Oreochromis niloticus: one gene and its partners. The protein of the gene in region 4 purifies or fractionates together with the protein of the main gene of each other region. This does not show direct contact. Links are inferred from orthologs where the notes say so. Each region holds a gene or a part of one and is shown on either strand. Other genes may lie near its edges.

Region 1 (7,725 bases), on a different chromosome or scaffold from region 4:
CATAAACATCCATACCTGAAAAAGCAAACATGTTTCCACATCTTTCTTTATTAAGGCTACTTAGACCTGTGTGACACACAGAATATGATAATAAAACTGTCATCAACTACAAAATACATGTGTAAGTCAAAAAGTTCTCTCCTGTAACGCACCTTTGATGAGGTAAGGGTCCAACATCTGGGCTTGTTCAAATTTGAGAATTGCATTTTTCGTGTCACCTGCCCTGAAATAGACATCTGCCAGGCTCACCAGGAGGTCCACGTTGTCCCGCAAAAGTGATTTCTTCTCCAAAGAGCTGAGAGTGTTTCAGGGAGGAAGTTAAGACTGTCACAAAACATGGCTCACAATATTCAGTCACTGTGTACAAATCATTATTGCTTTGCTCACCAAATGGTATTAATAGCTCTCTGGTTATCCCCTGCATGTATGAAGGCGTACGCTTTGATCCAAACAGACAGCCAGTCAAGGTTGGGGATACTCTGGATCGCGTCCATAGTCATGGAAGCCACCTCGGCTCCTTTGACTGACAGAGAGAGAAGACCTAAAGGAAAAACACATTTTTCAATTGTTTAAAAGAGATGCTAAATCCAAGCAGACAGTTTGTTTTAAAGCGGCATGGACATAGGAGAGGACTGCAGGTACAAACATCTTAGCAGATGAAGTGCTGCTTGCGAGATTACAGAGTCTACGGTGAACATGCATACCAATGATTGCATCCAAGGCAAGAGGGCACTGTCTGAGGACCTCTTTGTAACTCGTCACAGCAGATCGCTCCTGTCCAGCTTTCCTGTACAGGTTAGCTAGCATCATGTTGATCTGAGGCAGGAAGGAATGCAAAAAGGTAATTACTACAACTTATACAAGTTACTGCACTTGAGCTGGTTTCAAAAGGTTAAATAGAGCTTCATACAGTTCCATATCATATGAGCCCCATTTCAACAAAACTGGACGAATAACTTAGGAAGAGTAGAGTTCTGAAAACTAGTACACAACACTGCTTTGGCCCTAAATTTACCAGAATTCAGGGGTCAGAATGAATGTAGGTAATTTCTGATTTCAATTAATGACTTCTGTTCTTATAACTAATACCCTAGCATATCATGAAAACCAACCAACTAACAAATTTTAGCATCAGTGAACAAATTTTAGTAAGGTTTGTTAAGATTCATTTCAGTCGTATTTTTGACTGTAGACCAGTCTTTGGCTTCAAACTGTAACTGTCACACTATTTCCAATTAACAGATTTCATACTGCTAGTTTTTACTTAGAAGGTGATTTTACTTTAAAACAACTACTGCTGAATTGTTACCAAACCTAAACTTGTAGGTACATTCATTATTTAGTTCTAAAGCAACTATTTGAATTCACACAGTTACTAGTCTAATCAGTTAGTATAAAAAATAAATAAATACATAAAACTAAAGCATGAGGTAAACAGTGACTGACAGTCACTGTGTTAACAGACTGTACCTTCGGAGTCCTCTGTCTGGATGGTATCCCATCGAGCACTGCAATGGCATCTTTATCCAGTTTCAGAATGGTGTAGCACTCAGCTATTTTGTACTTTACCTCAATCTCTGAAGGCAAACTCTGAAAGACAACATTCATTGTAGATGTACATTATTCTAACCAGTCATCCTGTGCTCTGGATATTCATGTGGTGCTGCAGGACATCTAAAACCATCTTTACATTTAAGGCATTTTAATAAATCACTGGCAGGATGAAAGCCTTAGATTTACGTTGTGTGAAAGTAAAGTAAAATGAGATTTTAGTGTTGTTAAAAAAACAAACAAACAAAAAAAAACACAACTGCAGGTAAAGACACCTCAAATTACCAGAATGTTAGTGGCTGATAAGGATCTACATTACTCCAGTCAAACTTTATCAAATGTAATTATTAAATGTTTCAATGAGAAAGGCAACTTTTAATTACTATGGAAAGAGTCAAAAATTCGGGAGAGATGTTGGGCGTCAGCAACCCTAATGTTCAATTCTGTGTCAAGCCAAGCCAAGCCAAAGATTTCTATAACAAATTTAAAATAAAAAATAAAATCCCCCAGGTGACCAAAGTGCTATTATAGATTTCAGGGGTTTTTTGTTTACAGGAAATTGTCAAACACACCTGTGCCTGTATGTTAGAGGCAGCTCCACCAGTTGAAGTACGAACTTTTGATGTTTTGCTGAGCACCTTCTTCTGTTGCAGAGCCATGCTGTATTTGCAGGCAGCGTTGCGATACTCTTTGTCATGGAAGATGGCATCAGCATGGTAAACCAGCAGCTGGTACTTCTGAGCCGGCGAGAACAGCTCTCTTCCATTAAAAAAAACAACAACACACAAACAATAAAGTGCTCAGACTGAGGAAAACCATCAAAACTGAATGACACACGAAAAAACATCAATGCACAAACTCATAAAAATTGTCCTACACAGTTACCGTTTTTAAGTCAGTCACTCTAGAGTGTCAAAAGTATGACTGGGTAAGAGAACATTTACGACAAGTTTTCTAATACAATACTAGCTAAATTTCAAGCTATTTCATAGCAGCATTGTTAAGTGCATACGCTTGTAGATGCGACTATATAGTGAAGGAGTACACACAGTGTAAACAATGTATATAATTTAAATTGCACTCGCATTTAAACACTATCCAATAATGAGTGGATAATGAAAAGCTTCAGTAGAAATAATAATGTTAGCTGTTGTTGACTAGTTAGCTTGGGGGTATCGCTACCACTGGTATTGAAAAGCAGTCTTCGGGAATTAGACGGTTCCCGCTCAGACCACGACTTACGGATTGTTGTTGCTCATCGTCAGCAACAAACTACTCAAAATCCGGACATTAGAGTAAAGGCCTGCTGCAGCCATATCCCGCACATAATCTATTACATTCATTTTGGATTATTTGAAAGGCTCGCTGTAGGTGTCCGGCTCAGGTTAAAAGTTTGGGCTCTGGAACGGCTAATGTTAGCTAGCATGTGACGCATAAGACGTCCAACGGCTGACCTTCCTTCCGCATAGTGCTGCGTTTAAATGCTCTTCAAAAGCTCGTATATTTTCAAAACTTTAAAATAAAAACCTGCCTGAAATCTTTGATGTTGAGTAAAATAAGTATTTTATCGACTTTACTTTTATTTTAGGGACGTTGGACGAGAAATTACATTTTACAAAATATTTTACAGACCAAGGCGTCTTTATTTAATTATTCTAAATTTGTTGAATCTCACATGTCGCGATAGCTTTGAATGCATCATATTTGTTTTTGCTGCAGCACTATTTTTAAAATAGTTGGAAATTTTGTTTCAACTATTGACCTAAACTGTCGTATTTTATCAAATCACGCTATTGCAAAATTCTGTAATAAAAGTACGTGATATAATTATAATATATTAAAACAGTTTACATTGTCGCTAATCTAATATTAAAATATGAGTCAAAAACAAAGGCTTCAGACTACCCTATATGCTAATTTTGAGATAGTGGATGAAATATAATGAAGGTAGCAGTGAGCCCCACTATTATACGAATAAGGATTATTTTGAACTGTTAATGGAGCTGGAAAAGAGTATAACACGTTCTCTTTAATGCAAAAGAACGGTGAGCTTAATATATCATCTGATTTTCTTTAGATGTGTACACATGGTAGCTTTCCAGTAGTGGATTTCAAAATATTATTTGGTTTTCATATGTACCTGTTTTCAGTGATATCAAGTTTAATAGCAGGAAATCTTTTTCAAGTAACCTATATTTGACAACAGCTTAATAAAACTGGAAATTCTGTTTTTGGTGTGCCACCCCAATATTTTAGTGGCCCCCATATGGCCACCCTTTTAAAAATATTCTGGAGACGCACCTGCTTAAGAATTGTCCATAAAGATACCACTTGAATAAGCACTGTTACTTGGGTGGACTCAGGTAAACTGGGACACTTTGGTGAATTGCGCTGTGTTGAGGTGATGTTTTACATTATAACTGTTCAGGCACTGCACTTTTTTGTGTGATCACAAGTGTTCAAGTAAAAAGGGCAAGTGAAAGGACAACGTGAAACAGAGATAACTGGATGAATTTTAAGATAATTTTAATTGAACATAACAATGTAACCTTGCATTTCAGTTACATTAAACTCCCAAATGTTACTTGCTCAAAGTTGCTCAAAAGCTAATTTTGCTGACTTAATCCAAGCAATGAGCTGCCACTACGTCTAAATGATGTTCAGCAAAAAAAAAAAAAAGTTTGCACATCGGTTCCTCCAACCAATATTTAGGTTGGACTGAGACTGCCAAAACCACAACCTAATAGACTTTAGTATGGCTACAAACCACACAACAATAATGATAATAAACTGTACAATAAACAACAATCAATCAGTGTAAATCATCACAAAAAGGTGTCTGTAGCTATTTGAAAAGAGAAAACACTCACTAACAATCATAGTCTCCCTGAGAACTGACCTCAGATGCTTTATCTGAATGGTTGGGGGTGGGGCTGGTACACATTTACCAGCCAGTGGAAACTCTTTCAATGATGAGGATGTACACATCCTGGGCAGGGAGGAACACTAGCTTGAGCAGGAGTCAAGAAGGCAATTTACGTGAAAAGGGAAAGACCATCTCTGAACTGAGGAGGGGGCCTAAGGGTACATCTTTCGCCATCTTACAATGCTGTGATTGCAGCCATTCCCCAACTCTCTGTGAATGGTACTTATGGCCATTGATCAATGGGCTTCGATCAATGGTCATGGCAATTTGTATATTAATGATCAAGGAACTGACCTCACAGCCCATTGTTCATTCAGTGGGCTGGTTTCAGTCATTGTGCAACTGTAGTGTTTATAAGGTTCGGGAATCCTGCAGTCAGCTGAGACTGAAGAAGTGGATGAGTGACGAAACGTTTCAACCACTGAAAACGCTACGTCCAGATGAACAGATTCAACCTTCTGGGACATTTACCAGTTTCATTCGTACACGCTACAGTCTTATTGAATCACATCTACACATCTCTCCCCGAACGCATTGGCGAATAATTTTGATTTTGCTGCAGTACAAGACTGATACAGTTTTCCAGTTTGTTGCTTGTTGATTTAAATGTTGCTTTGAAGCCACACATAAACACAGTCGACCGCAGGCGCGCATGCGTACAGCTCAGGCTTGTGTCAAAACACAGAGGGAAATCAGCAGCAGGCACGGGCAGCATTAAGATCTCAGCTCGGTTTGTTCGGGTTTAGCTCTTCTCTTCGTAAAGTGTTTGTCTACACGGAGTGCTTTTTTTCAACTGCGCGTGCATACCATGACCGAACAATCAGCATTGCTTCTTCGAAAACAACTGGCAGGTAATAATAATGTAAAACTGTAAGCAAATAGAGCCGACATAAAGGCTCCATACCTTAGCAGCTAACGTTAGCTTTTTTGTGGCTTGGCAAAGCTGTGTTTACGCAATAGAAGTAAGCTCAGAAAGGTAGCCGAACAGCATAATGGATTCCTTTATCAGTCTAGCTGAGTGTGTGGCTAAGCAGCTTTGAATAGCTTACCTGTGTTGTGAATAAATACATAATTTTGAAGTATACTGAGCTCAAAAACACCTCAAACAACACATTGCAGGACCAGTCTAGCTAGCTAGCTTGCTAGCAAGTTGGGCATTAGTTAGCTAACGGAACAAAGGAATAATCAACCAGGCACTCATCTGCTCTAAACACTTTAGCGTTGTTAATGGTAGCGCTGTGCACCGCAAAGGTTTCATAGATCTATATACTAATACATCAGTATTATGGATTTGAAATTGCAAATCCATAATATAGCCACTTAAGATACAATCTAACGTTTCTGATATCAAATATGGCCCGGAGTCTAACGCGGGAGGCAATCTATATTAGTATTCAAGCCCTCAATGCTGAAACTCTTATTGTTCTCCTTTTGAAGTCTTTTCAGAGATGTAGTTGATTTTATTGCTGTTGTGCCCCGTAAATGACACATGGATTCACGAGTCTTTAAAACCCGTGGTATAAAGTTTGGTTTGCAGCTGCGTGACTGTCCAGTTCCTTCAGTTCTCATCTTTTAAAAGTAAACCAATACCTCAGTCAACACTTTGCTATATGAGGTGCAGCTTTTCATTTAATGACTTTAATGCTATAATTCAATTATAATTTTACCCGATAGGGTAAAAGAACTTAATGCAGCATTCAAGATCAGGTGATGAAATCTGCCGTGGATCACTAAAATATAAAAAACAATATCCGGGAAATCGTGCAATCTTAATCATGTAAATGATATTAATTCACTGTTAATACACTGCAGCCAAACTGGTCCATTTAGCTAAAGTAACACATTTTGTGAGTCCAATTTCAGCACACGACAAACACAAGTGCTATGTATGTTTGTATATAGCATGCTGTATTAAAATGACAGCATCCAGTTAAAATGACAGCATCCAAGTGATTTGGGATTTTGCACCAACTGACCATCACATACAAATATTAGTTACTCTGTGTGTGGGAAAATGAATCATTGACAGTGTTTGATGCAGTTTTTCTTTTCAAGTCAGTGATTCATATCAGCGGTCTTCATTATTTTTGGACATCACGATTCGATTCTGTAAACAGGTTGTTCAAATGAAAATTTATGGAGTTTCAGTTTTTGCTCAACTGTGAAGTAAAGGTTCATCTATTGTGTTCCCATAGTTTTCATGTTTGTATTCAATTTATTTGTTTAGCCATATCAGGGCCATATTATCACCTCTCAATGACATAACACAGAGCTAAGAGTTATTAAAAAAAAAAAACAACTGCCTGAAACAGAGCATTTAAATCAGCGTGAACCCTGAGCTTTTGGGTCATACTGATTAATTGTACATATGCTGACATAATTTGGTCATCTTTATTATGAATATCTATTGTATATGACATCAAATGAGGAAAACCACAGGTCAGTGGTCAAGTAATTATTCCTGTTATTTTTATTTGAAGACTTTCTGTGGGCTGTATGTGTTGTTGGTGCATCGTATCATAGAATTTCTGTGGACATCCACACTGTTACAAAAAATTGGCAGGACTCTAGCAGGCTTACAGACACGAAGTATAATTAAGGCTTTAAAATGAATGGATGTGGAAAGTAATCTTTCTGTTTCTTCAGTCCTTAGCAACAGACTGCTCCCATGGAACCAGAGTGTAAGATTGATCTATTTCCTATAAGACCAAGGTTAAAAGAGTGCTTCAAGAACATGCCATGTTGAAATATAAAAAACTGAGATATTCGTCATAATGCCTTGTGTGGGTCGGTCTCTCGGTGGCTCGGGAAAATTCAATCAGCTCAGTTGAGTGTATATAGTACTTGTTGCTGATTCATTTTTAGTCACCTGCTCTTTGTGAATTCACAGATGCTAGATACCTCCCACAGTGAAGTGTGTCAGCATCAGTAAACAACGTGGGCTTGCAGTTTACATGATATCCACCAAATAAGTGTCTGGGACTCCAGCACAGATTTGTTTTCCTCTGAAATTATGTGCCACGAGTTTGTCATAATAGTTTATTTCTGCTGGGTTTTATTTACTCAAGTTTGTTTACATAAGTGAAAAACCAGAGCTTGGTTACCTTGTCAGTATGTCAGCTGCATCATGTCAGCTTGTGTTCTCTGTTAAGCTGCTACCACTTTCCCCCTAGTCTCTTTTACTTGTGTACTATTGATGTCAGCTTAACTGATTGTTATGATACCAAAATTCTGAATATCCAGAGATA
Region 2 (7,620 bases), on a different chromosome or scaffold from region 4:
ACTTCATGGTACCTGTGGAAGAGAAGGGTTTAGACTTAAAATCTAGCACTATATAATCAGACAGCTCCAAATGTAAACAAAGGTTGCCCTTGAAGTTTAAGCAAATCTGCTGACTTACTTTGAGCCCTTGTATTTCTCCCGGACAGACTGCTGTGCATGCTGAGGGGCATTGAGGTATGTGCGGTGAAGATCCTCAATGCATGGCATCAGATCTTCCAGAGAGTAGCCAGTCATCTCGTTCAAGGACTTGGGCTAAGGAGCACAACTTTGGTCAGTTTGTGTCTTCAAATATACCAATACATTTTCCCACACTAAACTAAAGCTTGCATGAACTTTGACAAGATCAACTTTAAACCGCAGTTAAGAGTGGATACAAGTTTTGCAGTTATTGGCTGTTCTGCTGGACAACATTGGCATTTCCACCTATATACACAGACCAATACCTCCCAGTTCCCCATTTGTATGGGTCTATAGATCTTACCCATGAGGCACCAGTCACTGTGGTGTTGGCCAGGATATAGGCCGCAGCTGCTGTCTGTGATGGCAAGTATTTCAAGAAGGGGTCTGAATCAACCAGGCTGAGCTCACCAAGGTACTGAAGATGAAAAACAACAAATGTTTAGACAATGCACTTAGATCATTTTAAGATTACAGAAATGTCATGCCCACCATTGCCAAGCTCTCCACTTGTTTGGTAACAGTGTGCTGAAGGAAGTACTGAGTGAGAAACTGGTTTATTGTTGGTGATGCCAGGTCAAACGAGAGCACTTTAAGCACCAGATGCTCCATTCTTAACACTTGCTTCTTTGTGTAGGTGTCGTCTGTGATGTAAACAAACTCTGCCACCTCTGGTGGGTAGATCTCTTCAAATTTCCTGTAAAACATTCAAAAGGAACAACTGTAATGTTTGCGAATTAGTGGGCTTTGAACATTTGTAGAAACTGACATATAAATGGGTACATACGAAGCTAGCAGCATAGCTGCAGTGCCAACCAGCTGAAGTTTGCCTCTTAGGACAGACATTGAGGAAAGGAAGCGATCAATGTAGTTAACAGCCAGATAAAGTGTCTCATTCTGGAGCTTGTACTCTTCGCCAACTTCGACCAGCCAATCAACCAGAATGGCTCGCATGCTATTTGTGATGTCAGGCTGCTTCTTCATGTAGCCAGCTTTAGGTCTGGTTTTCACCTGTGGGGTGACAATCTGGTTAGAAAGAGCCAGTTTGCAAACAGGATCAGATAAGCACCATCAACAGGTTGAGGTTGGAAAATGTTGCCAGGGGACGTGTCCAAGAAGGCAGCACTGCCAGCAAATTCTGATATGCTTTTCAGCTTTACCACTTCGTATGCTAATTTCTCACCTCCATCTCCCTCAGGTAGCTGTGAATTTCAGCTGCATATTCTGGGGCCTCATTTACATTCACTGGTTTTTCCTCCCCCTCAACCACAGACATGTCCATTGGAGAATCTGAGAAGAGTTTTACATTTAGTAACCAGTAAAAACCCAGATCAGAGTAACAGTTGCTAGCATCATTTCCTTTAAACCCACCAAAGCTGACATCCATCGCTGATGGAATTTCAATAGTGGCAAGGGGCTGCCGGAGCCGTGCCACAGCATTGATCGCCAGTGGGGATTCTTCAACTGTGGGCTTTGCTTTGATACTCTCAACTGCCTGCTGTGGCTTCTTGATGCAGGCTCCATCAGGCTCATCAATATGGATCTGGAAAGCGGGTTGCTTGGCCAGCGGTTTATCAAAGCAGCTTTTCCCAAAGTCTTCATTTTTACAAGACAGGGATTGTGTGGAATCCTGGAATAGAAGAGAAAAATTCAGCCATGGCCCACAGGATAGAAACTTGTTAGATTGGAAACAGCAACACCATCCAAGGGCATGCATGCTGCTCAACTTAGTGGTTAGATGAAGACTGCTCATTAGAACAAGAAGTGTTCTGCACTTGATTGAGAACATTCAGATGATATTACACCAGTCAGGTTAAATGTTAATACTAAATTGTTATCTCTACTGGCGGGAGGGAAACGTTAATAAAGCACCCTCAAGAAGGCATGTCTATTGTTTTAAGCAGCCAACTACATGACTGACTTCACGTTAATGTTGATATTAAAATGGCGGTCAATTGGTGGGAACGGGGCGTAGACAACTACACTCGCGAGTTTGTAAATATAAAGTTTTAAGAAATCAGAAAAGCAGCAAGTATTTTTAACAAGCAGGGACTTGGTAAAATGTATTGCCTCCAAAACATGTAGTCAACAGCAAACCGCAGCACCAGCTAAGCAGCCACCAGTTAGCATTGTTACCTGTTTTCCGCCGACTTGGGATTTGTTCCTCTGGTTGTTCTGCAGGGCTCCTAGCACGGTTCTGTTGGCGGCTTGCTTCGGAGGAAGGTTTTCTTGGTTTTCAGACGCCACAGGTCGGGCTTTGAGCGAGCCTCTGAGTCTCTGCAGTACATTTTCCTGATTCTGGTAGTCACTAGCCGCGCTTCCCTGTGCTCTGTTAGCGCCTGACATGTTGCCCTCCAACTCCAGCCTGCCTTCCGCTAGCTTAACTACAATTGTTGGGTGCTTGTTCTCCTGGGAAATGAGCACTCAAATATGATGCGTGGAGAAAGGGATCAAGTATATGGATAATTATAGCGAGGTTATCATTAGCTGCTGCCTTGCCAAGAAAGCTTAAATAATTGTTCACAATCAAAACTAAGCTGTTGAGATGGTAACCACACTTGGAACCCCCGTGCTAAAACAAAGCAGACAAAAACAAGACATGCACAATCGGCGGTACAATGACTACAGTCGAAAAACAACAATTTAAGTGGCCATAACTCACGAGTTTCGAATTCACTACCAACCTGGAAACAAGGGAGCTAACCTCGATCCATTTACACAGAAACCTGTAAAGACTGCAGCTTTCTCTCAGTTCAAGTAGCCCGCGAGGATTGAAACAGACCAATCAGAAGCCGCGTAGGCAGTGACGCGTAAAATGTACGGGAACCCGAAGAGTACAATAATCTTCTGATTACTAAATTCAAAACCGGTTTGGCACGTTTGATCGTAAAATCGCGTTATTAAGTCAGCTGGGCCTGTGTAGCAAATGCACGCATAGAGGATAAGATCTTATTTTTTTCCTTTTTTATTTTGCTGTCTTCATAAATGTTCAGACACACAGTTTACCCAAGGCATTTAGTCATTTTGTTTATCTGAACCATTTGTAATCTGACTGAAGACTTGTGTTGGGAAGTACTAACTGCATGCAATACAAAAATTAATTAAACCACTTTTTGAATTGGCTTGGTTATAGTTTAATTTTTAATTAATACATAATCAGAGAAGTTGTTACCTGGCTAAGTGAGTGTGCTTGCCTTTAAAATCAGTCTGAAACGAATTATTTGCTGTCTGTAAATTGCACATAAAACCAAAGTTTATATCCTTCTACTTTTGCATAAATAGTGGACCGCTATGGTTGACATATGACATATGAACAGGCAGTCACTGCTATAAACTCAACTAAACGTCAGCTTTTACTGATATGACTGTTTTTAAATATTTTTTACAAAGCAGTTTGAACTATACGTCCATCCTGTACGTCCATCCATCTGCACTCTGTCCTCTCACACCTGGACAACAACAACACCTACGCCAGAATGCTGTTTATAGACTTCAGTTCAGCATTCAATACAATCCACCCCTCACAACTCATCAGGAAACTGACAGACCTGGGCATCAGTTCCCTCATCTGCAAATGGTTACTGGACTTCCTGACCAACCGCCCCCAACATGTCCGGCTGGATAACTGCTGCTCATCTACAATCACAATGAACACCGGTGTACCACAGGGCTGTGTGATGAGCCCTTTCCTCTACTCCCTCTTCACCCACGACTGCAGACCTGCTGATGGTTCCAACACCATCATTAAGTTTGCAGATGACACCACGGTGATTGGCCTCATCAGCGACAACGATGAGACAGCCTACAGGGAGGAGGTGGATCGTCTGGCTGAGTGGTGCGACACAAACAACCTGCTGCTTAACACTGAGAAGACTAAGGAGCTCATCGTGGACTACAGGAGGAATGCTGACCCACATCCACCCATCCACATTAAGGGGACGGCTGTGGAGCGTGTGAGCAGCTTCAAGTTCCTGGGAGTCCACATCTCCGAGGATCTCATCTGGACGACCAACTGCTCCAAGCTGGTCAAGAAGGCTCACCAGCGCCTCTTCTTCTTGAGGACTCTGAGGAAGAACCACCTGTCCTCAGACATCCTGGTGAACTTCTATCGCTGCACCATCGAGAGCATCCTGACCAACTGTATAACAGTCTGGTACGGGAACTGCTCTGCCTCGGACCGGAAGGCGTTGCAGAGGGTCGTGAAAACTGCCCAGCGCATCGCCGGAGCACCACTTCCTGCCATAAAGGACATCTACAGGAAGCGGTGTCTGAAAAGGGCTGGGAAAATCATCAGAGACCCCAGTCACCCATCACATAGACTCTTCACCCTCCTGCCCTCTGGGAGGCGCTACAGGAGCCTCCGGACTAAGACCACCAGGTACCGGAATAGCTTCTTCCCCACAGCTGTCAGACTCCTGAACTCTGCCTCCTGACATCTGACCCACGTTAAACTCATGGACTGAACATACACACACCCACAACCACTAGCACTTTATCACTACTGTATAGTTCTGTGTAAATAATCATTCTGTACATACGATAATTTTTAATCCTACAACTGTTTATAACTTACATAGTTCACATTTCTGTATAACTGTATATCTCAGATTTCTGTATAGTTTTTATTTCATATTTATATCCTGTTCATAGCCTGTACATAGCTTGTACTCACTACAGCCTGTACATACTTATAGTTATAGAATATTCATAACATACTTCACACTGTGTACATTATAACATACCATAATAGACCCATTTCTGTAATATACTTACACATCTCTATTATTGCTAATATATATTGTAATATATCTATATCACGGCTAAAGCACTTCTGGATGGATGCAAACTGCATTTCGTTGCCCTGTACCTGTGCATGTGCAATGACAATAAAGTTGAATTCTATTCTATTCTATTCTATTCTATCCAGTCATTTAGTTAACAATTTTAATAACCTCGAGTATTTTATTGCAAGTAAAAGCTTAAATATTTAATCTTTAATATAATATAATGTTTAAATATTCACTAAATGTTAACAGCAAAATATACTTACAATAATAAAGGAAATTCCCCTTTAAAGAGCATGTTACATATATATATTTGCTCATCTTTTAGGGAGCGTTTCAGATGGCATCAATTTAAATGACAATGCAAACTGCTAAATCTGCCTCTGCTTTATATTCTCTAAACTACTTGTATGTCAAATTTAAAAGTGCAAGGACACTAGATACCAAATAAATGGTAATGCACAGTAAAGTCACAAAGTAGCAAAAAATACAATTTCTGTGGAAAAAGTACTTTGGAACTTTCAGTCCTTCAAAGTATATGTATTCAATTAACCTCCACAACTGTGCGTTAGTGTGATTTTGCAGGACTTGATTTCTGGTACTTCTGCTTCTATCAGACAATAGAAGCAATCTATAGATTTGCTATCCATGATAGTGTAGATGTACGTTTAATGAATGAGACTTGATTGGCTCTTTGTTAAAATTCACTGTATTATGCAAGTCTTCTTCTATACAAGTTGATTTTTGTAGTAGCATTATTCCACTGAATGATGAACTTTACATCATTTCATTTTTATTTGAAGAAATGAACATCAGTCCTATGAAAACCATAACATAAAAATATACATCACATGTTTCTTTAACAACCATATATTTGGTCACTTCAAATTTCAGCTATTCATATAGGCAACTTTGTTGTAGTTATTTCCAGATACTTTAAAAGACATAAATATTTAAATATTGTGCTCGGTAGCTATGACAAACACTAACTAAATATATTTAATAACATTACATAAACACAGAGATACTACCATGAAACAGGTGTTTCATTAGAATACAAAAATAGCACAAACATTCAAAGACAAGTAAATGAATACCTTCTGAGCTATTAAAAACTTAGGCCTCATTAAAAAAATCTAACAGAGAATTCAAGTCATAGTTATCAAGTATCTCCAGCAATGCGGACACCTTGGTTTTTACATTCTGGCCCTTGAACTTGAATTTGTCGATGAAGAGGTCTGTGATCATTCCTACAGGAAAGAGAATGAAAAATATTAACTACCATAGGCCAACAATATTAATACGGTAAGGATCACAATGAGATCAGTTACATGAAACTGTTAAAACACTGCACCGTAAAGCCTTTCAAGGTGTGCTGGCTGTTTCTTGTACTCTTCAAGGAGATTAGCAGATTCATCCAAGATGTTGCGATACTCTGGAATGAGGAAATCAGCATTCCCCTCATGAACCTGAAGCTCCTGATGACCACAGAGGAGGTAGAGACGCATGTTGGGAAATAGGAAGCAAATATTAGTAGCTTCATTAAATTACACTCAAAGAAACATCTGAGCAAACTGTATCGTTTCACTAAACTGTGCACAGCAGATTTGCAACAGTTTCAACAGTGTATTGGCAGGGATGCAATGGAAATAAAGTTGTCACTTTACTGCAAATTTACACAACACAGTTCAAAGGAACGGATATCTGTTTTGCTTTTACACTTACTTTAAGAGCATCGATGAGCTGAACTTTTCTAGCCAACAACAGCTGGTATTCCAGCTTTGGATGGATCATGTTAAGGGTGTGGCTCACAGAGTCATCATTGATTTCTGGAAGATTAATAAACATAAATACAGGTTTTCCATTTCGTCTGTTAAAAAAACAAAACAAAAATAAAACCTGACAGATGGTATTGAAATAGAACAATGATACACCTACCGTACGAAATGTTGAGATTGATTTTCTTTTTGGTAGCTTCTTTAGACAGAACATCACTCAGTATGGAGATCGTAGAGATGTTGTCAGACTTAAAGTGACCCTCCCCTTTGCTGCGAATACAAAATGGTTCAATATATTAAACTATATGAAACTACCTATTAAACTCTTGAAAAACTTAAAGTGTATGTAGTTTAGAGCTTGTCTACTGTGTGCCTGCATTTACCAGTAGGTGGCTTCAAGCTGTGTGCCAAGGAAGGTGTTGTGGAAATAAAATGTGATGCTGTCTCCTGCGGGTGTTTTCTCAGGTACCTCCGGCAAACAGAAAACCACCCAGGAGTGGATCTCTGCAAAACTGAACTGCCCCACCAGACTGAGCCTGTTCATTGGCCTTAAATAGAGTGAGAAAAGCAAAGAGAAACGAGAACAAATGGTTTTATGAGAAAAAAGGGAAATCCTGATAAAAGAACTGTGTTAGAACATTTCTGTGTTGCTGCTATTAACAGTAATCTATACATACAACACAGAGTTGATGTCACATATCTCATAGAAAAACATAGTAGAGGTTACTAAAAGCAAGAAGTAAGTAATCATATTTATTTTCAACACAAAAAAAATGATAAAAAACATATTAAACCCACCAAGGAGATTATGTGGCTGCTAAAAACTGGAAGCAAAATTAGAAATTCCATGTCATTTCACTACAAACACATAATAAAGTGAA
Region 3 (7,374 bases), on a different chromosome or scaffold from region 4:
TGTCCCATTACTCCTGTGATTAATTCAGAAGTAAAGGTCCAGACAACCTTGTCATCTTGTTCAGTGCTTCAGTGCTAAGCTGTACCTCAACACAACTGAAATGAAGAAACTGGCTGTATGCCCGGTCTAACACACAAACAAGTATGGAATTTATGAATGTTGATGAAATACAATACAGTATGCATTCCACGTGCACTTTCTGGTCACTGTGGAGTTCATTAGTCTCATTTAAGAAGTGAAGACTTTGTTCCAGAACCACCAGATGAAGCTTAGGAGGCAAAAGAAAGATAACACCTGGTTGTTAGAAAGCTATTTCCTCAAAAAGAACAGCCCATTTTTTGTACATGCAGTCATCTTCCCTCACACAACTCTCAACACAGTGGGATGTGTGTTGTGTGTTCCTGTATTTGCAGAAACACAAAACAGACAAACAGTTGTGATAGACTAAAGTTCAATTTAGTTTTATTTATACATTTACTAATTCTGAAATTAATTTAAATCATTACCTGTTTGTGTTATAGTTTCTGAGCTGGAATGAGGCCTAGCTTAAAAAATGTTTCAACCAGCATGCAGGAGGTGGGGTGACCTTTAAAAAGACATCCCCACTGAACCTGGCCTTCTCTGCATCTGCTAGTTACTCCACCAGGTTCTGAAAATAGTAACAGACTGAAAAGCTCAACAAGCCCCACATGGCTGGCTGGGTACAGGTATCAGCCATTATGAACGTAGTTCATTTAGCTCAGTGGATGCAGATCTGATATAGATATAATGTACTATATTTTTTCAATAAAGAGATGTTCATTTTAGCAGTAAAAAATATTGTCTCTCCATTGGCTTATTTAGCTAAAAACTGAGCTTATTATTATCAGTGACTCTGCAGTGTAGTTGTTAACACATTTGTATTACATTTTAAAGATTATGTAAGGTTTTTTTGAGGAGTTATCAAATGCTACATTGTCTGATCACATCTAACAAAATGGCTAACAGGCTTTGATCAAAGTCCAGTATCTGCTGGTGTTCTTGCCAGATTCATGGCGCCAGAACAATTCTTGAGAAGGCTTGATGCCAGCACCCACAGTCTTTATTATGAAACATGACTGGGACTGTAGTCCTTTGATACAAAACCACAGAGCTGTTAATACAGACCAACAGAGGCTTTGCGAGTGATACCAGTTTGGCTCTCGAAGATGAGGGCTGGACTGAAGTTACAAATGACCTCAAGCCAACCAACACTATTTGAGAGATTACAGTTCTCCTAACACTATGTCTCTAGATTTACTGCCTTTATGTGGCTAATTACTGTAATTGCAACTTGTATAATTCAAACCTGGAATATAGATTTATCGTTTATCCTACCATCTCCAACTTAAACTGGTTAATAAAATGGTCACACAGGAATGACAGCAAAAACTTTAAAAATCAGATCTGAGTGATGGACTGCATACAGGTTTTGCAATGCGAAAAGGCCAGTTGTTTTACAGAAGAGTAACAACTGAAAAGATAAAGAAAGACGAAATTCAACATTTAGATATAATTTAACCTCAAATTTAATTCATGATAAACAACTTATCAAATGCTGAACTTTCACACAGTATTGCTATTCTAATGCTTTGTCTAATATTAATCCTTTGTGTAACATAAACACACAAATTCACATTTGCATGAATGAAACACCATGAGGTTTTGTAAGTTGTCCAATGATACTTTGACATGTAGACCGGAGGACCTGTGATCAAACCACTGACCGATAAATAAGCCTTTCTCCCTCCTGAGTCACAACTGCCCTCAATTATGAAATAATTTTAGATGTCAACAGCACAAAATACTGTCAATTTTAAATATAAAAAATTAATATTTCACAGGCAAGAAGGTCATCACCGCTTCTCCGCCTCAACTTATTTGAGACATGTTGCTGCTATCAAAATCAAAATGTTCTCATTTTTTCCTTAAAATGGTACATTTTCTCTGTTTACAGGTTCTGTATGTCTATTATTATCTATTATGAATAAAATATGGGTTTCAAATCATTGTATTTTGTTTATATTTAGGTTTCACACTGCTTCACAACTTTTTGGATGCTGAATCAGCTGATGCAAGATGATACAAGTTGAAGACTGCACATTGTGTCATAGAGAAAAAGACTTAAATGAGCTTTTGGAGACTCCAGTGATGAATGGCAACATGCTTGTGGTTGAGGAAAAAGACATCAGGCTATGACATGCATGATGAGTTACCTCATTACCTTCTATAGCTAGGAGGAAAGCTGAAGGGACTGCATTAAGAAGTGCTTTAGAACATCTACAGGGAACTTGAAAAGCTAATTTATGGAAGGATGTGTTGTTGTTATGGGTCCATTGAATGTGCTTAATCCTCTTGAGCCTTTTTATGTAAGGATGTATGCAAGGATCTGTAGCCCAGAGTCTGTGACTGCAATTAATGCAGAGTTGTGTGTGCTTCAAGTAATTCTATTCTCAAGTAGTGAGAATAGAATTTATTTTCTCCTGCTAATATGGGTCCCAGTTGCAGCCTTTGTTTCAGCAGAGACCCTGGGACCTCCCTTCCTTTGGCCATCTCCTCCAGGTATTCTGGGTGGGACACTGAGATCTTCTCAATCCAGCTGAGAAACATAATTTCTTCAGTATGTTCTTAGTCTGCCTAATGATCTCTTCTCAGTTGGAAGTTCCCAAAATACCTCCTACGTAAAGTGTTTTGGGAACTTCCAACTGAGAAGAGATCCTCTCATCATTCTGATGAGAATGAAGAATGTAGTCATTCTGATCAGATGCCCAAACCACCTCAAATGGCTCAGCTGTAGAAAAGCAGCAGCTCAACTTGTTTGTTTTGCATATGTGGAAATGTGCAAAACAGCCAGGACCCATTCCCCAACCCGAAGGTGCAGGAAGCAATGTCTTATTCACTGGAGAGAACCCTAATATATAAGTACCTAACTGTTGACATATGAGCATACACTTTTCTGCATTTATCTTTCATCAAAACCAACTCTAGTTGTGGGCAGTACTTCAAAAAAAGATTGGTTTCAGAACCTATTATCCCCACTGAGGTGAGGCCATACATATGTATTTCCTATCTTGCAACCTGTGGTATAAGTTCCAGCTGTTTCCCTCCTAGAACCAGTCCACCCCCTCCCTTAGCAAAATAGTGCCTGACTCCTACAGCCTCTCCTACAGGTGGTGGGCCCACTAGACAGACTGGCCCATGTGGATAATTCAGTCAGAGTCTGGCAGGTCCCCATGAGTTATGACCTGGCCACCATACACTTGCCAGTGGGCCCCTCAGTGGTAGGGCTGAGGTATCCCTTTCCTGGAAGAGGTATCATATTTCATAGGTTTTATCATCATAGGTATCTTCTGAATCACAGTTCGTTCGACTCTTCACCCAAATCAATTTGTCTTAGGAGATGATACCAGGGAACAATTGTCTGGAAAACAAAGTTCTGAGATCACTGGGGTATGTAAAAAAAATATACAAAGTGTGAGAAAATCCAAGTACCATAATAGTCAAAACACTGTAAATATGAAATAGAAATTTGAGAAAAAAACATTACCTGACCTAAATATGAATGACTGTAAATTTTCACCTACTAAGTACTGTCTGATGTTTCAAATGTAAATGAAACGTACGAATTAGAAGTGAAGGTTAACAGATGTGTAAATAATAATACTTTCTGACAGTTTGATGTGTGGTGTTCATATCCTGTGTCTGTGTGGGGACCTTGTTAATGAGACCAGCTGCAGCTGGAAAGAAGCCATTTTTCATGAATCACAAGTTTCCCAAAGAAGGTTCGAAGCTTTTCATTAATTTTGGGAGAAGTTGGTCAAATCTAATCTGCCCACTTAGTGGTCCTGGAGGTGTGCAGGTCCCGCATGGCTTTCCTCCAGAAAGAAAAAGCCAATTACTGACTGAGAAAAAAACATCTATGATATATATATAAAAAAGCACATAGCAAAAAGAGAAGTACAGCGCCAACAAGACTTAAAAGCTAGCATTAACTGAAATTGTCTTTCTTTTGTTTTGCAATTTTGATTCTTTTGTGTGAAAGCTGAGGGACTTTTCCAAGTCTGCATACAATGGTTGTTTGGACCCCTTTAGGATTATTAAAACGTGGTATCTACAATATTAACCTATTACTTCAGTCATTTGCACAGTGACACATTACAATAATATACAGTCAATTAAAAGATAGAAATGGCTTTAACATAAGAAAATAAATAAATGCCAACAATCCTGTGTAACGTTCAGACCGTGGCGTTGAATTATTATTCTACACTGCTCTCTAGTGTCGCAAAATTGTAAGCGTAACCTAAGACGTCATCAACCTTGCGCCCCAATCTCACACGCATGCGCAATTGTGTGGAAGCTGACAAAATTCAAACTGGGTGGCGGGTAGTTGAAGTCGGAAGACGTAGAAGAAGAATTAAAAGAAAAACGTACAATATATTTATTGTTGAGAACTCAACCAAAGTGTTAAGAAAATGACAAGCACGTTGAAGGGAATTACTCTCAAAGGAAGCGCGGAGTTAGTAGCCGAGTTCTTTTGTAAGTATTTCTGTTATTTCATCTTTTAGTCGCTCGTTTTCGACATGCATGCATGTAAAGCTAATATGCTATTGGGCCTACATAGTGCCCGATAACATATTAGCATCAACGCAGCATGTATGCACTCACATGACAAGCTGTTGATCAAAAATAAAGTGTTTAAGCCTGACGTATCCTATAAGCGTCAATTCACAACTTCAAACCGAATAATTTGTAAAGACTGTCTAGTTTTCGGCCCTTGTAGTGAGAATCGTGAATGTACACCATATATGGTTTCTATTCTGCCGAGCTAATATATTCATTGATTCCCAGTTAGTTTTCTCTCGTGTTATTAGCTGTTTGTGTGTAGTTGTTTTTATACTCTTCTATCCCTTTTAAGTTTGAACCACATAAGCCTCTAAATTTTACGAATACTAGAATTCTGGCGTATTTGAACCCTTTGATTTCCCCCTTTGTCATAAACAGCTTTCGGCATCAACAGCATCCTGTACCAACGGGGCATCTATCCTCCAGAGACATTTACCAGAGTTACCCACTATGACATGAGTCTCCAACTCACTACTGACCTCAAGCTGAAGAACTATCTGACTAACGTGGTGTCTCAACTTAAAGGTATCTCAATAGTGGGCTTCTCCACTCGTGACACAACCAAGTAGAAAGTGGAAAAACTCAACAAGAAAAAGTAAAGGCTTAAGCCGTACTGAAATACAAAATAAGATGATGTTTGTGAACAATGAATGATTTTGTCTATTTATTTTGATAATTCGGTTATCGGTCTTTACTCAATAAATGATAGTTTATAGTAACTTGTTAATTGCGATTTCTGAGTAGGGCCACATGGTGGTGCATTTCCCCCTCCCCTTTTTGTTGTGTTGAATTGGATGAACTCAGATGCCTATTAGACTCATGCCTGAGATTTTAATTGGTATGACCTGGCATCTTATGATCAACGTTAAGTAACATACAAAGCAGCACACGTGAGTTTCCATTCCCATGTTACACAAATTTGTGTTAAGCTACTCTTAGGCTCTTGTCAGGTGAACTACAAGCTATTTCTGGTTAAAAACACTTAGATTTTTTTTTTCATTTTTGATTTGCCAATTTTTGATTTTGCCATAAATACTTATGTGTGTGAATGAGGAAAGAGATCGGTGCACCCTTTTCTGTCCAAGGTGATGCCATTGTAATATTATATTTTATTTTTTATTTTGTTCTTAAATCCAATGCCCCCAACTGTTGATGGCTGCCTCCTCGGGTTTCTTCCTGTTGAAAAGAAGTTTTTCATTCCCATCAATGCCTAGTGCTTGCTGTTCTTGGATCATCTGATTGTTTTTCTTTTTAAGCCTGTGGGGGTCTTTACTTTAAAGTATAAAGTCTCTTGAAGTGACTGTTGTGATTTTTAGTGCAATATAAATAAAACTAAATAGAATAAATGTCTCTGGATTTTCAGTTCAAATTTAGTTAATGTAATTCATATCAGAATATTCATATTTTTGGGTGCTTATGTCAAATCACTGAAGCTCTCAACTGTGTAATGCTAAGAGTAGTAAAATTACAGAATACAAATCATATCTAGGAGCACAGAGTATAAGTGCTTTTTCTCCTTTAAGTTCTAAAGATGTTTTAACTTGATTATTGGGATTTTAAGAATTGGTGTTAGTCAGAATGGTTACTGAATTATTGATGATGTTGGTTAGATAAAGACATTATGGTTGAGGGTGGTCATTCTTGCCACAATGTGTACAATATTTAGTGTACATTTGCATTTACAGCCCATATTCAGAATGGCTATTTTTCTCACAGACGTAGAACTCGTGATCTTTTGGATATAGTTGTGGATACAAAATTCTCTACATCTTTGTATTATGTTTTTAGGGAGTTTAACTATCTCTCACCTTTCATGACAACACATCATTAAAAATTTGTTTGCTCTTTTTGTGTTGCAGAGTGGCTTTTTGAGTGCACTGTGCAAAAGCTGGTGTTGGTGATTACATGTCTGGAAACCAACGAGGTGCTCGAGAGATGGCAGTTTGACATTGAGTGCGACAAGTCTGCTAAAGAGAGCAGGTCAGTACCTCTACTAGACTTTTTTCTTTTTTAAAAAAAAGGCTCCATGCGAAGGGTCATTAATTTGCTGTCTCATCTAATTCCAACACCTGGCATGTTGCACTTGTACTTCCCCCACCATCGGTTTGAGTGGAGTGATGGCCGTTTCTCAATTCTCAAGTACGCGAGTACGTACTCGCGTTCTCGGTGAGTACGTACTCGCCGAGAACACACGGGAGTACGTACCCGCCGAGAACGCGAGCACGGACTCGCGATATGTACAATTGGAACACCTGTGTACGTGATGATGTCACAGGTCCGGAGTTTTTACTGCCGTCCCCTCTTAATTTAACTGTGAGTAACATGTTATGAAGCTTAACTTTAATCACAGCCAAACCGGTTTACTCAGGAACAAATAAAACACTGAAATAAACCAAACATTAACATTTAGAAGTGATCTAAGTGACTTATATATCATTTTTAACCTCAGTAGTGGAACCTCTATTAATAAAAATTAATTAGAACGCTTTATTTTTATTTTAGTGGACACTCAATACTATAGACAGCTGCTGGGGTTTCTTTAACCTGAGTAGTGAGAAGACCGCGAGCGGGGGGGTTGAAAACGATGTGCCCGGAGTCCGCTGTTGAGTTTTGGACGAAATGCATTCTGGGATATTTAGCTGTACCAAGTCCACACCGATGCATGCTCGATAAAACGGGCGGAGCGAGAACACATCCGGGACTTTTTCGCGTTCTCGGCTTGATGCGTAC
Region 4 (6,860 bases):
TTCGGGTGTTCTGTTCGTCCTCTGTTTGCTCTTTCCTGGTTTTGTGGGTCCAGGTTTGTCTTGTTTAAGTAAGAATGAGTCGAAAAAGAAGCTTCTCTTTCCAGAAGAGCAGCCTTATTGGTCAGGCAGGCAGCAGGATCTCTCGGGTTCAGGGTCCAATAGCGTACTGCCTCTGCAGTGGCCTGCTGTCCCATCTGTCCCGGTCCCTAACTGCTCACTGTGTGGGGCTATATTTGGCCCCTGGCTCAGGTTTCACAGCCAGAATACTGGCACGAAGAGATAGTGTTGAGGTAGTCCAGGGGAACAGGAGGCGGCGGTGACATTTTTATACTGAACCAGTATTTGTTAATTAAAAACTGTAAAGCCATGCTGTTATAATACTTCAGATTGCACACCTGCAGTGTACTCCTATAAGCCCTTACCAGTAGGTTTACAACACCAACTAATCTGTGTAGTCAAGATAAATAATATGCATCCTGCAGAGTATGTCATTCTCTATCTAGTTGAGCCATCTGACACTAAAGTGACTTGTTAGTGTTGCCTCTGTGCCCAACTGAGCTGACCCACTGACCCCAGACCCCCCGCTAGCTGGTTTGCCTAGAGGCATGGCATCCTACAATGGTCCTGGGACCAACACTTGGGTCGAGCTCAGGGTTCAGCTTCAGTTTAGTCAAGGTCAGTACTGTAAACATAGCAGTAAAGGTCTAAATGCAAGTGATGGCTCCAGCATTCATAATTTAATTCCTTACATTTTAAGAGCATCAGAGAAAGATGGCAACTGCTTGTCACAGGGCTCATAGCCTCTACGGTGATGCCACTGTACATTTGACACAAGACACTGTGTCAAATGCTACAGGGTGGAGGTAAACAACATATAAGCAGATGTTGTTGCTTTTGATAAATATATTTATTGTTCAAAAGCAGGATGCAGAGAAATATGAAAAAGGAAACAATTGCGACCAACTACCTGCGTCAAAAAAAAAAACCCAATATGAAATAAAGAGCAGCAACATTCTTACTCCTAATTTGACTAAACAAAAGAACAACACTGTGTGGTGTTTGTGGGGTGCATCTAATTGTGTGTTTAAACCTAGCCAAACCACTGGCACTAATCATTACTTCAAAAACACAATTAACTTCACCTAGTATCTGCTTGCAACCTTGCAAGGTCCTATAGCACACAGTTAAACTTTGCCCATGCATATGGGCAGTAATAGTAAAATTGCAGTTTGTAATTTATAGCGACTAGTGACAATTTTGTGCTTTACTGTAATGGTACACAAATGCACCTTTTAAAAAAGGTATTCAATTATGTATAGGAAATACGCTATTTATATCGTGGTTCATTCACCAGCTGCTTTGGATGTTATCAGTACATTCAAAGGACTTTATTAACAGTAATCAGCTCCACAGATATTAGCCAGTACACTTGGAAATGAACACGGGCATTTGTATAGTGCTTTTCTCAAAAGCTCAAGGCTTTATTCATCTCATACACATATCCACTCTTACTGTGTATGTGAGTGTAGAGTATAGACATGTGGAGATCCATAATTAGCCCTACAAGGTATATATGTGTCAACTGTGCCTATAGAGAGACAAAAACGGACTTTTACTGTACTCTATTTTTCGTGTAAGGCCAGTACAGTGGGGTAGAAAGACGCAGACAGTGAAGGGCCATGCAGCCTCACTTGATCTATTTATGGGCCACTATCACATTTTGTGCTCTCAGAGCTATTCTGGTTCTTCATCAATCCACTGATTACAGTCAAGAGTAGGTGATAAGTCTGGAAGGAATTTCCTCTGTAATAACTATCTAGTCTGCACGCACAGACACACCAGCTAATGAGTAATCTTACATTCAACTTGCTTGTCATCCTACCCCACTTAGCAATAACTTTGTAAGGTATCATTTAAAAATAACCACATTATTTAGCAATGACTACTAAGCATTACAGTTTGTGGTCTACTGTATGTAAGAATAGCCATGGAACATTTCCAGCAATCCTTTATGGGCTACCATGTGTGCAAAAGGTCTTCCATCATAAATTATATTTACAGTGTTTTGGTTATAGGCATATGGTCAGACATAGACATCATTTGTTGATGCTTAGAAATATCAACACATCTATGTATAATTGTGTAATGTATAATTTTGTATAACATTAAGCCACCGAGGTAGAATTAATTTTTTAAAGGGCTTTTAACAGCTAAAAACAACTTACAAAAGTACCTGTCTAATACAAAACAGTAATCCAGGAACACACAAGGAGTTTGAGAGCACACAGGGCCAAACAGGGACAGACAGACTGACAAGACTATACAGGGCTCACTCAACACATGTAAAACTAATGAGGTCAAGGCAGACAATCACAAAGAAAACAAAAACCTTGGTTGCCTGGAATGTCAGAAAAAAGGTAGGGAAGAAAACTAAGACTACAACAAAACAGATGGAGACAAAGACAAGGAAGTACATGAGACACTAGGAATAAAAGAAAGGATATTTAAAAAAATCAGGGGCCAAAACTCAAACATGTGAAAGGAAACCAGAACTACTACACACACGAATCCAAAAGGTTAATGCAACAGAGAATTAAAAGGTTGTTCTTTTGACACAAAATAATGAAAATGTGTTCCATAAATAAACCAGGTATACACCCAGGAAGTCAAAAGCTCCTGAGTTATTTATTACAGCTGAAGTGTTTCTGCTGTTTCTACTGCTGCACAAAAACAGACATGTTAAAACGTGCATAAATGAATGTGAACAACACAAAACAGTTTCTTTGCAATGGATTTCTGAAGATTAAGAATGGCTAAAACTCTTTAGTGTCAGTTTAAAATGGCTTTGCACATCTGTCTGCTTTTTTAAGTGCTAAAAACCGTTTGCTTCAGTCTTCAGTTGTTTTTAGACTCATTAAATTCAATCATTAAAGAATACAGACATAAAATTGACAAGTCTCTGCTTTTTTTAGTTGGTGTATAACAATACAGAAAGGGCCATGTGTTGCATATAACAATGACAATGACAATTTTATTTATATAGCACATTTCATTACATGAAAAGTCGACATGAAAATGAAAAAATATTAATAACTCTGTAGGTTTAAAGTGCCCTAAGGCAGTGAAAACAGCAAAGCAGAACAAAACAAAATTTAAAAAAATAAAAAATAAAAAAACAAACAAACTTATAAATTGTAGGACTGTGTGAATAGAAAGGTTTTTACTCAGTTTTTGAATGTACATACAAATGTAATTGGTCTCAAGTCAGCAGGTAGCTTGTTCCAAAGAATAGGACCACAATAACTGAACCTACCTTCAGCATACTTAGATCTGATTCTAAGAACAGTTAAAAAGTCTAAATCAAATGACCTGAGAGGTCACACATAGCATTGCAATAATCTAACCTACCTGATGTGAATGCATGGACCAGTTTCTCAGAGTCAGCTTGTGATGGAAGTTTTCTAACCTTAGACATATTTTTAGTCAAGGTAACCTTATTGATGGGATTATCAAAACTGAGATCATTGTCCAAAATGATGCCAAGGTTCCTGACTTGCTCACTGTGTTTCAGAGAAACTGATGACAAATAAGAACAAATTTTTTGTCTTTGACTTTTTGGACAAACAACAAGTATTTGTATCTTGTTTCTGTTCAGTTCTAAACACATTTGATAAATTCACTAGTCAATGTAATCGATGCAGCTCATTAGTTTGTGAAAACATTTTAAATCATCAGAGGAGAGAAGTGAGAAGTACAACTTTGTGCCATCTGCACTTTTCCAGTTGTCATTTCAAGTTTCATTAAATTGCGTTTCTCTCTTAGTAAATTTGTCCCTTGCTTTCCGCCGTCGCTCCGCAATGATTGGTTAAAAGAAAAAAATGGCGGCGTCCGCGTAGTTGTAAAAACATCGCGAAGCCGCCTTAAAATTAAAATTTCGGCGGCGCAAGACAGTTTGGAACTCACTGTGTCGTATTATGGTTATCATATTTCCCCGCTTGTAATGTCCTAAATCATAAAAAATATTATCCATGGCCTTCTTTCTGCATTAGCTTGCTAGCAAAACCGCTAGCATAATATCAGTGGAACAGAAAGATCTCATCTGTCAGCTTTAAACGGTAAGTGAAGCTTCAGATTAGTTTAGATTTAGGTTGTGGTTTAGGTTTAGATATTTTATTTATTTTTATTTTTTAATGCCTGGCTGTTTTTAACAGAGATCATAAGAAGTAACCTCATGAGGTTCAGGAACCTGTCAGAAAACTATAAAGAAATCTGATTTTTATCAGTCAGTGAATCTGTTTATCTTAATGCACTATAACAGTGTTGTTTAATATGATCTCCATAATCATATTAGAGGTCCACGACAATACAGATACAGATTTATGACAACTTAAAGAAAAGTTCTGAATCTTTTGACCCTGTGTTTAAGGGGATCTTTTTTGGCGTATGAGATCATTTTACGGGCATGGTTTGGCTCCACTTGCCCCCTTTGGCCTGGGTGTTAAGCATAACTCTCAAGGAACAGTAGTGACCCACTGAATGCCTTTGCAGTGGGTAAAAATTACAGTTATGTCAGAAATTACTGCAGTTTTTCAAAATAATCTGCTGTCCCTTTTTTCCTTTAGAAAGCTCAGCGTATTTTCAGATTTTGTTTCAGTTTTTTTAATCATAAAGACATTCAATTTTAAATTCAATTCAGTTTTATTTATATAGCGCCAAATCACAACAGCAGTTGTCTCAAGGCACTTTGATATGACACCCCAGTACAGGGGCCAGTTCAGTATTCAGCTGAAAGTGGTGTGAGTGTTGTGTAGTGGTTACCACATTCACCTTCTTTTAAAGCTCCCTGGTAAGTGAGAGCGTTACGTCTGGTGCAAAATCTGCCAAATCAAACTCGTGGATTCATTTTATTTTCAAGGGAGAAAGGGGGGCCAAAAGTTACCAGCCAGTGGTGTGATTTACACCTCTGCAGGCTGAATTTGATCTAAGAGGCTAATGCCCTGCTACCTTTTCTCAAACACCCCTACCTGTCTGCTTCCCGAAATACCTGTACAGAAACTGTGGTTCACTACAGAAACGTTTTCTTTGGACAGGTACAATGAGTATGTTATCTGCAGGTTATATTAATTAATAAAGCATTAATACTTCAAGCGCCGCTCCGAGCTGGCAGCGAGTATCAGCAGCTCCGACCTGACCGAGTCCTTTTTTCTCTTTAATTATTCTATATGTTTCATTTAATTTTTGCAGAGACGAGCATCAGTAAATAATGATCATTTAAAAAAAGTGCACTCACAAAAATGAATCAGGCATTAGTTACATCTATCTTAGTATATCTTATCTTGTGTCTTATCTTGCTTGAAACAGCCCACGGCACAAAAAATAAACAGAATGGTGAATCAATTAAAAAACAGCCTGGTGGTATCAGTGTTTAAGAAGGTCACTATACTGTATGTACTAACCTTGAATTTAAGGCTAAAAAGACAGCTGTAATATTGAGATGTTAATAAATCATCTAGTTATTTTATATATAATTTTTTTTCCTCTTCATTCTCTTATAAAAGAGACGACAAGGAACATGTTATAACTGGAAAAATATATCTACATGGAAATTGCATATATTTTTAAAGACATATTAGACTCTTTAGAATCTACATTTTAACACAAGTAACTGTAGTTTCAGAATGTATTTGTTTAGTAATTTTTCATTCTTAGCATTGATTTGCAGAGAAGAAATCAATGCTAAGGTACATTTAATGTGTTCTGGCAGCACTTGGTGGCCAAACATCTTACTAAGAGACCTGACTTTAGTTTTTCCTTCAACGTCAACAACACTAATAGTACAAATAATTAGCTAAAAAAAAATTGAAGCTGTTAATTAGTTAGTTTTCTGTACTTTTTGCAAATAACCGATTGATAGTAGTGTCTGATTTGTGAATTGTAATAATATTGTTGATCAGTATCACAGTGAAAAATGTATTTTTTTCAAGGGAGGTAATGAACATACTATTTGTTTCTGCTGTCAAATAAAGAGTTTGACATAAGCACAATAGTGTCATTCTTCAACAAAGGCTCAGCTGATTTTTTTGGCTCTGACACAAATAAAAGCAAAACTGTACAGAGAAAACGTTCACGAAACGCTTAACAAAAAATGTGTTTTCCAAGTATTTTTGAAAGCTGATATCTCTTATTTTTATTAACATTTTTTCAGCCAAGAAAATGCCTGCCTTTCGGCAAGTAGGAGAGAAGCAACTTCCTAACCCTGTACTGTGTATGGCATGGTCTCCCAAGAGGGATCTGATTGCTCTGGCCAACACAACTGGAGAGGTACTATTAAAACAATTATTCTGAAACACAGCTCCGTATTCTGTGTGTGTGTGTGTGCTTTTTAATACTTTAAATACTTGGCTTATGTTTTTCCATAGTTGCTGCTTCACCGCTTAGCTGGTTTCCAGCGTGTTTGGACCCTACCACCCAGTGAGTATACTGGGAAGGAGATCACAGCAATTGCCTGGAGACCAGATGGCAAAAGTAAGGAGTGACTGTGTGCATCTTTTGCTTTTTTCAGTCATGTGTTTGATGGAATCATGATGTAATATATCCTCTCTTCAGTTTTGGCATTCAGTCTTGGAGACACTAAGCAGGTAGTCCTGTGTGATGTTGAGAAAGCAGAGATCCTCCATGTGTTTCCTATGCAAAGTCCTGTAACTTGCATGCACTGGATGGAGGTGATTGAGGAGAGCAGGTATGCATCGATTGAGGCTCAGGAACCAAGCCAATGGTGTGGAGGGTGTGTAGAATAATGAGAGTGATTGTTTTGATGTGTTTCAGTGCCCTCAGCTCTTTTTACAACTCAGAGGATGAAT

Evidence for each region.
Region 1: the proteins of anapc4 (region 4) and anapc7 purify together in Homo sapiens (affinity purification with western blotting; 14 studies listed by BioGRID and IntAct, with this or other methods). This does not show direct contact. The link is inferred for Oreochromis niloticus from reciprocal best matches to the Homo sapiens genes ANAPC4 and ANAPC7.
Region 2: the proteins of anapc4 (region 4) and ccna2 purify together in Homo sapiens (affinity purification with western blotting; 3 studies listed by BioGRID). This does not show direct contact. The link is inferred for Oreochromis niloticus from reciprocal best matches to the Homo sapiens genes ANAPC4 and CCNA2.
Region 3: the proteins of anapc4 (region 4) and mad2l1 purify together in Homo sapiens (affinity purification with western blotting; 14 studies listed by BioGRID and IntAct, with this or other methods). This does not show direct contact. The link is inferred for Oreochromis niloticus from reciprocal best matches to the Homo sapiens genes ANAPC4 and MAD2L1.

The regions. Positions count from the first base shown.
Region 1 is NC_031977.2:6,444,858-6,452,582, reverse strand, and holds the start of anapc7 (anaphase-promoting complex subunit 7), read right to left. Parts: upstream 3,012-7,725; 5' UTR 2,895-3,011; coding exon 2,794-2,894; intron 2,311-2,793; coding exon 2,124-2,310; intron 1,591-2,123; coding exon 1,471-1,590; intron 817-1,470; coding exon 705-816; intron 542-704; coding exon 388-541; intron 296-387; coding exon 153-295; intron 16-152; coding exon 1-15. UniProt on the Homo sapiens protein: Component of the anaphase promoting complex/cyclosome (APC/C), a cell cycle-regulated E3 ubiquitin ligase that controls progression through mitosis and the G1 phase of the cell cycle.
Region 2 is NC_031966.2:11,829,590-11,837,209, reverse strand, and holds the start of ccna2 (cyclin-A2), read right to left. Parts: upstream 3,009-7,620; 5' UTR 2,862-3,008; exon of another isoform or gene 2,840-2,861; intron 2,750-2,839; 5' UTR 2,524-2,749; coding exon 2,314-2,523; intron 1,808-2,313; coding exon 1,549-1,807; intron 1,468-1,548; coding exon 1,361-1,467; intron 1,189-1,360; coding exon 965-1,188; intron 875-964; coding exon 670-874; intron 596-669; coding exon 482-595; intron 253-481; coding exon 119-252; intron 13-118; coding exon 1-12. Other genes in the region: BBSome complex member BBS7, read right to left, coding at 6,078-6,211, 6,316-6,439, 6,687-6,790, 6,900-7,009, 7,123-7,287. UniProt on the Homo sapiens protein: Cyclin which controls both the G1/S and the G2/M transition phases of the cell cycle. Functions through the formation of specific serine/threonine protein kinase holoenzyme complexes with the cyclin-dependent protein kinases CDK1 or CDK2.
Region 3 is NC_031967.2:3,973,041-3,980,414, reverse strand, and holds the start of mad2l1 (mitotic spindle assembly checkpoint protein MAD2A), read left to right. Parts: upstream 1-4,355; 5' UTR 4,356-4,493; coding exon 4,494-4,557; intron 4,558-5,022; coding exon 5,023-5,169; intron 5,170-6,503; coding exon 6,504-6,624; intron 6,625-7,374. UniProt on the Homo sapiens protein: Component of the spindle-assembly checkpoint that prevents the onset of anaphase until all chromosomes are properly aligned at the metaphase plate.
Region 4 is NC_031986.2:37,123,569-37,130,428, forward strand, and holds the start of anapc4 (anaphase-promoting complex subunit 4), read left to right. Parts: upstream 1-3,851; 5' UTR 3,852-4,115; intron 4,116-6,205; 5' UTR 6,206-6,213; coding exon 6,214-6,321; intron 6,322-6,419; coding exon 6,420-6,525; intron 6,526-6,606; coding exon 6,607-6,739; intron 6,740-6,825; coding exon 6,826-6,860. UniProt on the Homo sapiens protein: Component of the anaphase promoting complex/cyclosome (APC/C), a cell cycle-regulated E3 ubiquitin ligase that controls progression through mitosis and the G1 phase of the cell cycle.